Saccharomyces cerevisiae S288C: one gene and its partners. The main gene of each other region encodes a partner of the protein of the gene in region 4 in a complex. Each region holds a gene or a part of one and is shown on either strand. Other genes may lie near its edges.

The links.
Region 1: IMG2 (region 4) and MRPL31 share a complex: the UniProt entries of both Saccharomyces cerevisiae proteins name them as parts of the mitochondrial large ribosomal subunit.
Region 2: IMG2 (region 4) and MRPL27 share a complex: the UniProt entries of both Saccharomyces cerevisiae proteins name them as parts of the mitochondrial large ribosomal subunit.
Region 3: IMG2 (region 4) and MRPL3 share a complex: the UniProt entries of both Saccharomyces cerevisiae proteins name them as parts of the mitochondrial large ribosomal subunit.

Annotation. Positions count from the first base shown.
Region 1 is NC_001143.9:184,786-187,185, reverse strand, and holds MRPL31 (mitochondrial 54S ribosomal protein mL60 MRPL31), read left to right. Parts: upstream 1-1,504; coding exon 1,505-1,900; downstream 1,901-2,400. Other genes in the region: APL2 (Apl2p), read left to right, coding at 1-726; CMC1 (Cmc1p), read right to left, coding at 894-1,229; HSK3 (Hsk3p), read left to right, coding at 2,174-2,383. UniProt on the Saccharomyces cerevisiae protein: Component of the mitochondrial ribosome (mitoribosome), a dedicated translation machinery responsible for the synthesis of mitochondrial genome-encoded proteins, including at least some of the essential transmembrane subunits of the mitochondrial respiratory chain.
Region 2 is NC_001134.8:766,638-769,180, reverse strand, and holds MRPL27 (mitochondrial 54S ribosomal protein mL41 MRPL27), read right to left. Parts: upstream 942-2,543; coding exon 501-941; downstream 1-500. Other genes in the region: SSH1 (Ssh1p), read left to right, coding at 1-238; glutamine amidotransferase subunit DUG2, read left to right, coding at 1,575-2,543. UniProt on the Saccharomyces cerevisiae protein: Component of the mitochondrial ribosome (mitoribosome), a dedicated translation machinery responsible for the synthesis of mitochondrial genome-encoded proteins, including at least some of the essential transmembrane subunits of the mitochondrial respiratory chain.
Region 3 is NC_001145.3:320,290-323,710, reverse strand, and holds MRPL3 (mitochondrial 54S ribosomal protein mL44 MRPL3), read right to left. Parts: upstream 1,837-3,421; coding exon 664-1,836; downstream 1-663. Other genes in the region: CSI1 (Csi1p), read right to left, coding at 1-411; MSS1 (Mss1p), read left to right, coding at 2,694-3,421. UniProt on the Saccharomyces cerevisiae protein: Component of the mitochondrial ribosome (mitoribosome), a dedicated translation machinery responsible for the synthesis of mitochondrial genome-encoded proteins, including at least some of the essential transmembrane subunits of the mitochondrial respiratory chain.
Region 4 is NC_001135.5:239,578-242,335, forward strand, and holds IMG2 (mitochondrial 54S ribosomal protein mL49 IMG2), read right to left. Parts: upstream 967-2,758; coding exon 526-966; downstream 1-525. Other genes in the region: peptidylprolyl isomerase family protein CPR4, read left to right, coding at 1-434; RSA4 (Rsa4p), read right to left, coding at 1,228-2,758. UniProt on the Saccharomyces cerevisiae protein: Component of the mitochondrial ribosome (mitoribosome), a dedicated translation machinery responsible for the synthesis of mitochondrial genome-encoded proteins, including at least some of the essential transmembrane subunits of the mitochondrial respiratory chain.

The DNA of each region.
Region 1 (2,400 bases), on a different chromosome or scaffold from region 4:
TCAAAAATCAATATTTTTATAGAGAACTTTGTTCAAGAGGAAGCTTTAACACAGATGTCTTTACTAATGACAATAGTCAGACTACATGCTACTTTAACGGGTAGTATGCTACAAAGCGTCCTAGAATTGGCCACACAACAGACACATGAATTAGATGTGCGAGATATGGCTATGATGTATTGGAGATGCCTTTCGATGCCAAATAATGAAAGTTTGGTTAATGATCTATGTCAAAATAAACTTCCAATGATCTCCAATACACTGGAGAAGTTTTCACCAGAAGTGCTAGAGAAACTATTAATGGAATTGGGTACTATAAGTTCCATTTATTTCAAGCCCGACTCAAATAGGAGAAAAGGCAAAAAGTATGTTCAAAATATAGTTAAAGGAAAACATATAGAGGAATTAGAAAGCATGGCAAAAAATGAAATTTCTAGCAAGGCTAACGATGATGTGCTATTGGATTTTGATGAAAGAGATGATGTAACAAATACAAATGCAGGAATGCTGAATACTTTAACAACTTTAGGCGATTTGGATGATTTATTTGATTTCGGACCATCTGAGGATGCCACACAAATAAATACAAATGATACCAAGGCTGTACAAGGGTTGAAGGAGCTGAAACTAGGTGGCGACTCAAACGGTATATCTTCTGGTGGTAAAAACAATCCCGATGTTTCGGGCGGCAATATAGTGTCACAGGATCTCCTCGATTTATTCTGACTATAAACGTCCGTTGTAGTGAACTTAAGTATTATACCATACATATATACCCTTCGTATTAATTTTTCCTTTTTATTGTTGGGCTGTGTGTATATAATTTATGTACAAGAATGGATATATCAAAAAATCCTTAAAAGATGTAAATCAAAAACATCAATCAACACAGCTTATTTTGTAGAGCTTTGTTTTTGACATAACTTTTCAAGCTTGTTGATTTTTTCTAAAACAATTTTATCCCTTTCACCATCTAAATATTTCTCATCTGTTTGATAAAACAGGAGGCACGATTTCATTTCATCTCGTTGCTTATCACAAGTGGGAAAAACTTTCATTCCATTTGCCTTAGCACAATCTGCCATTGCTTGAACAAAATTTGCACATTTTTTGTATGTTTCCGTCTTCAAGTTCTTGCGAGCCTGTTGTTCTTCGCGAGGACTTAGCACCCATATAGGTAGCCTAGAACTATGTTTCGAGATCATCTGCGGATCTTTGTTTTGCTCCATCTTATCAAATATATGAAAGTTGTTCCAGATAACTTGAAGATATTCGACTTTTGTATCTCTGGCTTTAATTATGGTTAAATCTTCCTAAACTATCATAGGTATAAATACAGGGCACTCCGTTTTCAACTTTATAATCGGAGAAGTACAAGAGCATTCAAAAAGTTCAAGAGAACGGTATAACAAAAGGACAAAGGGAAGCCAAAGAGGGAAAAAAGATATCCGTACTTTGTAGGAAGGAGACGTATTTAAAAGGCTACCCAAGTTATAAGACTCCAATGTTTGGCCCATTCAAATTAACAAGCCCCGTCGCTGGTGGCCTACTATGGAAAATTCCATGGAGAATGTCCACACATCAAAAAACCCGTCAAAGGGAAAGATTAAGAAACGTTGATCAAGTCATAAAGCAATTAACTTTAGGTCTCCACGTCCAAAGATGTCAGGATAAAGGTCTTACTTATCAAGAAGCCATGGAGAGCAAAAAGAAATACAAGCCAAGAAGTAAATCGTTAAGGTTGTTAAACAAACCATCAGTCTTTCCAAAGGAGAATCAAATGTCTTCTAAAGATAAATATTGGACTTTTGATAAAAAAGCTGTTGGTTATAGGAAGGGTATTCATAAGGTGCCCAAGTGGACGAAGATTTCCATTAGAAAGGCCCCAAAATTCTTTTGAATGATACGTAAAAGATCGTTTTATTGATATAAAAATTTCATCTGTATATAGTTTAATCATTGAATAACTTGTTTATAGATCCATGTTTGAAAGTAACACTCCTAAGAAGGCTTTGATGTTTTGTATTGCTCATATTATATCATGCCCATTGAAATCAACGTTATTTTTTTGTAAAGGTGGGAAGAAAGATCAACAAGATAAATGGCGAAATAGAACATATCAGAACATTTGAACTTCAAAACGAAGAGGACACAAAGAATTTCAGGCAAGAGAATGAACGCTAACAAACAAAGGCAGTATAATCAGCTTGCACACGAACTTAGAGAGCTTCAAACGAATTTACAGGAAACGACAAAACAACTAGATATCATGTCGAAACAATGTAACGAAAACTTGGTAGGCCAATTGGGTAAGGTACATGGAAGTTGGTTGATAGGTAGTTACATTTATTATATGGAGCAGATGCTTGGAAAAACGCAATAAGGCATAAGAGGTAAGAC
Region 2 (2,543 bases), on a different chromosome or scaffold from region 4:
ACAGAATGTCGCTAAAGAATTGAACAAAGTCATTCCAATCGCAGCTGTTACGGGTGCATCCGTCTTAAGTTTGATCACCGTTATCGGTGAATCTTTGGGTTTGAAAGGTAAAGCTGCTGGTATAGTTGTTGGCATTGCTGGTGGGTTTTCTTTGCTAGAAGTCATTACCATTGAATACCAACAAAGTGGCGGTCAAAGTGCTTTGAATCAAGTCTTGGGTGTTCCAGGTGCTATGTAAACAAAGAAAAGAAAAAAAAGAAGGAAAACAAAAAAGAAGATCAAATTCTCTCTGCTACGCGCATTTATATACGTACGAACTTTTTGCTCTTCTTTTAGATTTATATGTATCTATATTTAACTCAAAGAAAGATGACATATGGTGCAATGTCTAAGCCATGTTTTATTTGATTTTGTTTTACAATCTTAAGTTTTATTTTTTATCTACCTATAAAGTCGAAAACTAGTATTTACACGCATATTGAAGAAAGATTATAAATAACTTATCCACGCTCCTTATAACATGAAGTGTCGGTGGCCCCTTCGCTTTGTACCCTCCCGTTTACTATGTATTCTTTTATCTTTAATAACTGTAAACGAGGATCTAATGGGCCGCCGCTAAATCCTTTAAATTCGTGTTTTAGAGGTGGTACATTTGCGTTAACGTAGGGCTTTAATTCGAAATTAACCATATCTGGGGTAACATAGGTTCTGACTTTCTTCCAGTTTATCACATAACCACCGAATTTTGTATGTCTACCAATCCCTGAAGCTCTTGTCCCTTTGTACATCGTCTTGTTACCTTGCTTCGTGGTCAACGGCACTCTTTTATTCCCAACTTTTGATAACCCATAAAATAATTCACCATCTCTGTATTTCTTCCAAGGCCTGGTAAGAGCATTAATAGAGGTCTTACTAAATTGAGAAATGGGTGAGCCTTTCATTTTAGTTATTTGCTGTCCTCACTTTCAAGGTAATCTTTGATTCCCGTAGTTTTTTTAAGCAAAAATTGGTGTATACTACTTCAATAGTCCTATCTTTTGTATTAATTCTAGCTTTTCAAAAATAATCCGTGAAACGTGATAATAATAATTATGTATCTCAAGAAAATCATCATCAAATAGCCGCCAACAAGCTGCAGTGAAGCAACATTGAAAGTCCTTCCCGCAAGTATTAGGCTCTGTTTAAAGATTACTAACCTTGTTAATAATTATAATAACACTTCACAGCTATTTTCGTATTCCTTTTCATAGTTAAGGGCATTTCACTTTGATCTAGAATGATCCTCTGATTTCGATGTTTTGTTATATGGTAAGGAAGCTCTTGAGCATTGCTCACAATTACTGCTGCAATTAGAAGTTCAATGAAGATGGTATCTTTTTTTTTTTTTCTCATGAGAGGGAATACCGACTTTACCATAAACTTGAGTGATAATCGCATTGTGCGCCGCGAAAAGCTGTGGCACCAATATCAATAAAATGTGTGTAACTGAATTATTTAAGTGAAAAACTATTTCGAGAAACCGAACAACCCTGTAAGGAAAAGTGAAAAACGAGGGCAGAAGTAATTGTGAAATCATGTACGATAGCAGGGGTGTCGCATTGCACTCTGAACTAATTCATAGGTGGAATCACGCTTTTTCCATCTTATCCATTGTTGCATTTCCAAAAAAAAGATTGTTGTTTGCTGGTAGCCAAGACTCCAAGATATTGGTTTTTGATCTTCCCACATATAATCTAATACATACGATTAGACTAGGCGAATCACAAGAGGAAACGCATACCAGATCTTCGGTTTTGTGCTTGACAGGATCAGAAGATGAAAACTTTTTATTTTCAGGCGGCGCAGATTCTTTGGTGAGAATTTGGTCCATTGGCGAAAAGACCATTAGAGATGACTTTCTACCTGTTACTGAAATAGCCACTGTTTACTCAGTGACCGATATTGGTGATATTTTCTCATTGGCATATTTGGATTCGTTGGAAACTATTGTCTTTGGCTGTCAAAATGCAAGCTTACTATATGTTGAGAACTTGATTCAGAAGATTGAAAAAAAATCCTCTGATGGAGTAGAAAATATCAATAAATTACCGCATAGAAGATATGATAAGTTCTTTGATTCGTTAGGTCCGACTGGATATAGTTCAAATTCATTATCTCAAACTTCATTGACCTCTCTACAAGAAAACTGTGGCGCTGCCATCATAGAGGTTCCCTCCGAAAACATTATTAAATATGCACATTATGGGTTTATTTATTCTATTAATAAATTGTGTCCCAGGTTTAATCAGTTATTGGAAAAAAGCTCACGAACTTCTGGTGCAGAGCACATAATTTCATCCGCTGGTGATGGAATAAGCAAGCTTTGGGAGTTCTCTAAAGATAAAGGGCAAAACACTGTTAAAATCTCCTTGATAAACGATAAAATCGACAATGAAGATAGCGTCATATCCCAAACTATTGAGTTCCCATTTTTATATTGCGGGTTGACTGACGGGATTATAAAAATCTGGGACTTAAATACTCAGCAAATAATCTCAACTCTG
Region 3 (3,421 bases), on a different chromosome or scaffold from region 4:
ATGTTGGCGAAACACGTTATATTTTATCAGATATTTCAATGCCAAGGCGGTCAATTGGGTGAGCACTTTCTCCGTCACTTTATTAGTGATATTTTCGTCCTCTTCTAACTGACATAAATCAAGAATACCCAGTATACAAATGTCCTTTTGAGTCACTTTTGTTAGGTTAATTCTCCTTTCTAGGCGTTCTTGATTTATTTTATCATTTTCCTGCATCGGGATTCGTATAACTTTTTCAATATACCATTGAGACTCTGCTTCATTACCATTTATTGGGATGTAAATTTCATCATCTTGATCCAATTTGCAACCTATCAATAAAAACCAAGAGTGGTCTATCGAGTCAAACGATGACTCGTGCAGGAAGTTAATTTCTGATATAGCTAGAGAACTGAATTTTAGGAGGTCCATTTACCCTATATTACTTTGCTTTGTGTTATTATCCCCTCACAAATGTGCGTTCTCTTTAAATATAGCAAGTCTTTTTTTTTTTTGTCTGTTTCCTGGTAAGATATAGTAGTAAACAAGGAACATGCTTCTGTTCACTTTTATATATTTTAGTACACATAAAGTAAACGCATATCGTACCAACGTGTATATATATATGTACAAGAATGTATTCTGGTTAAGGAGTTCTCTATCTACAAAATGGCAAACACAGAACTAAACAACAACAGTGCCAGGATCAATAACTGGTTCCTGTTGAGCAAGAGGCTCGTAGCAATACCATTTCATCAAAGCATCAGTAGCGGCTCTTGCTTTTGCCTCCTTTAATGAGGAACCATAACCTTCACCTAATGTCTCTTCGCCTGAAAATACATGCACAATAAAGACAGGTGATTTCGATAGTCTACCAGACTCAGCGACCAGTTTCGATACAGGTTTCTCCAGCCCCTCTCTACGACATAGCATAGCCAATTCTCTTGTAGGTTGTTCAAACTGGAACATTTTCGTGATATCCAATTTCCTGCTCATTATATGATCATCAATAAATCTGTAAACAGCTTGAGAATCTTTTTGCTCCGTTACTGCCCAGATGGCAGCTATTATACTCCTCACGCTCATTGCAAGAGCGCTTGTTTCTGAAAAGTTCTTTCCGGTGATTAGCTCAATACCGTCCTTAGAGTTCAATGAATTATTAAAGAATTTGAGTCTTCCCAAAGTGAATTCGAATGGTTCCATTTTCAAATAGCGTGATAAAACAGACGTAGTTTCTACTTCAATACCCCAGTATTTAGCAATGTGCGCCAGTACCGCCTCTGATATATATGCGTTAACCGCAGCATTCAAAACCACAGTGGGTAGTCTCGGATATTTCTGTATAATGGATTTTGTAACGTGGTAAGAGAGCAAGTTCTTTCCCATGATGTTTAAACCGTGGTTGTCCAAGTATTTATTAGTAGGTACAGTATTAACGAAAGCTGCACCTTTTGTAGGATTATTTATCTTGTCGGGTAGTTTTGCAGAGGGACACGTTAAGCATCTGGAAAGTGTTGAATAGGTCAACTCATTAGGTAATTGTAATCTCTTATGAAGCGTTCTTAACGAAGGTGACTTAGAGGCCACTGATTCAGGTATTTCATTTACAGTGCTCTTCAAACCCTGGTAGTATTCCTTATATTTAGCAAGTTCAGATTCGGGTAGGAAGCGCTTTTCTTGTTGTGTTAATGTTGAAAGGTGTAGGTATCGTTTTGAAGTAAATCTCGAGGATTGCTGCAGAAAGCATGTGCTAGACAAATGCTGTGAGAAAGGTCTTATGGTTCGGCTCCAATGCCACGTACTGTTTGGAAAAGGTTTCATACCTGCTGCTATTGCTCTTTTCAAAACTATGCCCATTCTGTATATATAACTACAGCTTTCTTTTCACCAATTCTTTTCAGATTATTTTAGTATTGCTCTTTTTCAGAGGCGGGAAACTTCACTCTTTACCCGGCTGCATATTGTAAGGACCTTTTCTATAATCACGCATTAAAGCGACTGTAATTTATATCTAATAGGATAATAATTTGCCATTAATTATTCATCTTGTTGCGTCTACAATCATTCTATTCCGTATTCTTTATGTCAAGGCATAAGAGACCTTGGTGTTTACTTTTCATCTTTCCGTAACGTTTTCTATAAACAGTAAAATTGATGAATCTTTGGAACTCCACCTTTCTTAAAGGTAATAATATGCCATCCATATCGGAACGAATGGGGATTAATAATAAATGAGTTGCTATAGTAGCAATCTAAGTGCTGACATCGTATACGTCTGAATGTGAATGTGCCGATTCCAGAAAAAAATATTCTACTTGCAGTTCAGAAAGTACTGAGGCGGCGTTAAAGATCTATTAGATTGATAATCTTCTGATAGTTGTATATATATATATATATATATATGAGTAACACGGGTTGCCACATGTCTTCAAATTGGTTTCATTAATAAAAGTTTAAAAATGTATCCTACATTTATGTTTTCTATACTTCTTCAAAGTCTTCAATACAAATCGGGCGTGTGGCGTAGTCGGTAGCGCGCTCCCTTAGCATGGGAGAGGTCTCCGGTTCGATTCCGGACTCGTCCATTTTTTATTTTTTTGGCTAACTAACCCATATATAACGTCTTTTACGAGGTTACATGAAGATACAGCAATATTCCATACGACTGCTATCTACTTAGAGAATGTTATATATGGTTAATAAGTATTCTATTTATGAATAGTGCATCTTTCTTACAATCACGGCTTATTTCGAGATCCTTTCTCGTAAGAAGGTCGTTAAAGAGGTACTCCGGACTTGCAAAGCCTTATACCTTCCAGCAACCAACCATATATGCATTATCTACACCAGCAAATCAAACCTCTGCGATAGCAATCATAAGAATATCTGGTACCCATGCTAAGTACATTTACAATCGACTAGTTGATTCAAGTACAGTTCCGCCGATCAGGAAGGCTATTTTGAGGAACATTTATTCGCCGTCCTCTTGTAGTGTGAAACCTCATGATCAAAAGGAAAGTAAAATATTATTAGACACATCGTTGTTGCTATATTTCCAAGCTCCTTATTCATTTACTGGTGAGGATGTGTTAGAGCTGCACGTTCACGGCGGGAAAGCCGTAGTTAATAGTATACTGAAAGCTATCGGCTCGTTACACGATAGAAGCAGTGGTAAAGATATAAGATTTGCCTTGCCTGGCGACTTCTCCAGGAGGGCGTTTCAAAATGGAAAGTTTGACCTTACCCAACTTGAAGGTATCAAAGATCTTATTGATTCGGAAACAGAATCTCAAAGGAGATCTGCCTTGTCAAGTTTCAATGGGGATAACAAAATCCTATTTGAGAACTGGAGGGAAACCATTATCGAGAATATGGCACAGTTGACTGCTATAATAGATTTTGCCGACGATAATAGCCAAGAAATTCAGAATACGGATGAGAT
Region 4 (2,758 bases):
AAGCCGATGGAAATGAGGAATTGGATGGCAAAAGTGTCGTGTTTGGTCAAATAACTTCTGGTCTAGATCAACTAATGGATGCTATTCAATACACAGAAACAGACGAATATGGAAAGCCTCAGCATGAATTACGGTTCCTGTATTTCGTTCTAGAAATCTTAAAAATTAGTAACATCTTAGATTTGCACGCTGCGTACACAGAAAAAGTCGAGAAGTTTAGAAATGGCGATGTGTCTGTTGGCTCCACTTTGGAAAACATCTTCCGTAACGATAAAGCCTACACACCTTTAACCACCTCCACTGGAACCACCGCCTATGATTTAAACCACCCAATTTCCAGAGCCTTGATGTGTTTAACTGTTCTTGGCCTTTGTTTCATTGCCTACAAGGGCATGCACGAAAAGCCTCATACGGTTTCATTAAGACACAAGTAAGCAACTTCTTTTCGATGGCTTGATGACCACATGGCTATGATTTTAATTAATATATATACATGACAATTATTTTTTTATACATTAGCGATACCTAAAATTTCTTGGTTAATACCCTTTTGACAGCCTCTACTGCATTGCCCTTGATAATAATTTTTTTCGATTGCATCACCACAGACCATGATTTTTTGGGTATGAAAGGCAGTTGCTCCTGCAAGTCATTTCTTAGTTGAATTACATCTCCTTCAATCTTTCTGATCTCCGTGATAATCTTGTTACCTCCATTTTTATAAGCGGAATACACCGGTAGATTTCCGGTCCTGCTTCTCTCCACGTAGTAGGTCTTTTTACCAAAATTGTTGTTTCCTATGAGCTCATGCATCTTCACGTCTTCCAGCTTTGGAAATATTGGCGCCTCAGCAGCTTTATTTGAATTAGTGGATATACATCTTATCGTTTGGTATATCGAGGCAGTGGCAGGCCCTGGAAGGCATTTACCCCTACCAAAACATCTAGTAACACACGAACTGATCATAGTTTTGCTCACACGCTACCTTGGAGTAAGTTGCTTTAGGTAAACGGGCACTTCTTTCAAAAGGTTTTCCTTCTTGCTGGAGCTATACTGCTTATAGTACCATATTTTAAATTCATACCAAGCCATTCGTACGCGATGACCATTATAGATCGACCTTGCGACACCATCATATTTAATATTCAAAAAGAAAAAAATGCAGTTCTATATCACAGTTATATAATATTTATATGTGCATGTATGTTACTTGTCTTTGCACATAACTCAATGCGTCCACAATCTTACCATCTTGTCTTTCCCACCACTACACACTCTTTTACCGTCGACACTCCAGTCGACGGTATAAACTTCGTCTTTATGACCAGGGAGGTCAACAGAAAGTTTTCTAGTTCTTACATCCCACACTTTCAACGTGGTATCTTTGGAACATGACACCAGTAGTCGGCAGTCCGATGACCACGCAACCTGGTATACGCTGGCTACATGCCCTCTAAATGTGGAGATAAACTTACCATCTCTACCGTCCCAAAGTTTGATAGAGTTATCAAAAGACGCTGAGACAATATACCTACCATCAGGGCTGAACGCCACATGATTGACTAATTTTTGGTGACCGGTCATTCTTGCTATAGGCTTGGTAGATTTTAGTGGGTTCCATAAAAACATGGTATAATCATCGCTTGCAGTAACCATCATTTCTTCTGAATTTCCATTCTTTTTACAGATTTTTTCATAATTTTCCAATGCCTTTTTCTGGGCTTCTTCTGGTGTAGAAGGCTTCTTACCTGTATGATCGAATGCACCAATGCGCAATGCGTAATCTGTAGATAAAGATAAGTGATTAACCCAGTGCGCATGCGACTTCAAAATGTTGATACATCTGCCCTGCGAATTGATGTCCCATACACGTACGGTTCTATCGTGAGAGCCACTATACAATAGACCTTGGCCGCCCCATTTGACACAAGACACTGAATTTGTGTGACCACTCATCGTATACTGGCAAACTCTGCTCACAGTGTCCCAAATCTTAATAGTACCATCCTTAGAAGATGAAGCTAATCTTGGTTTGGAGCCCGGCTTCACAAGATGTATAGGTTCCCAACTTAAAGAAGTGATCCACTTGGAATGACCTCTGAGAGCATCACCTAGACACTGACCGCTTTTTGGGTCCCATAATCTTATGGTATTGTCCATGGATCCCGTAGCAATTACTTCTCCATCGGGGGACCAGGAAACGCAGAGAACCCAATTGTAGTGACCCTTTAGAGTATGCATTGGCGTTTGGGTGTCACAGTCCCAAATCCTTGCAGTATTATCACCTGCACCGGTTACCATCCTAGAACTCGTATGTGGTGCGAAGGCAGAACACAAAATTGTGGAACCGTGACCTGCAATGGCTGATGAACTTCTAGTTACCGGCTTGACTTTGAAAACTGCTCTTGGCGTATACAGTAGCGTGATCTGATCTTCTGTACTGTTATAGCCTGGTTTTATTAATGAAGAATATAGGTTATCTGTTATATCAATCGTCTTCACAGGGTCACTGGCCTTCTTACCTTGAATTGTACAGCTGAAGGTATATGGCACTGGATCGTCTGAAGTACCGTTCAATTGATTTAAAAGTTCTTCTAACTGTTTCTCGGAGATAGCACCGGGAACTCTCAGGGCGCCACCTACATTGTCACCAGTATCTAAAGCTTGGAACTTGATTGAAACATTGGGTAAATCTTTCGGAATAATAGCTACTTCTCTGGGAAGTTGAGCCTCTTTCTTTTGTTTCTTAGAAGGTGGA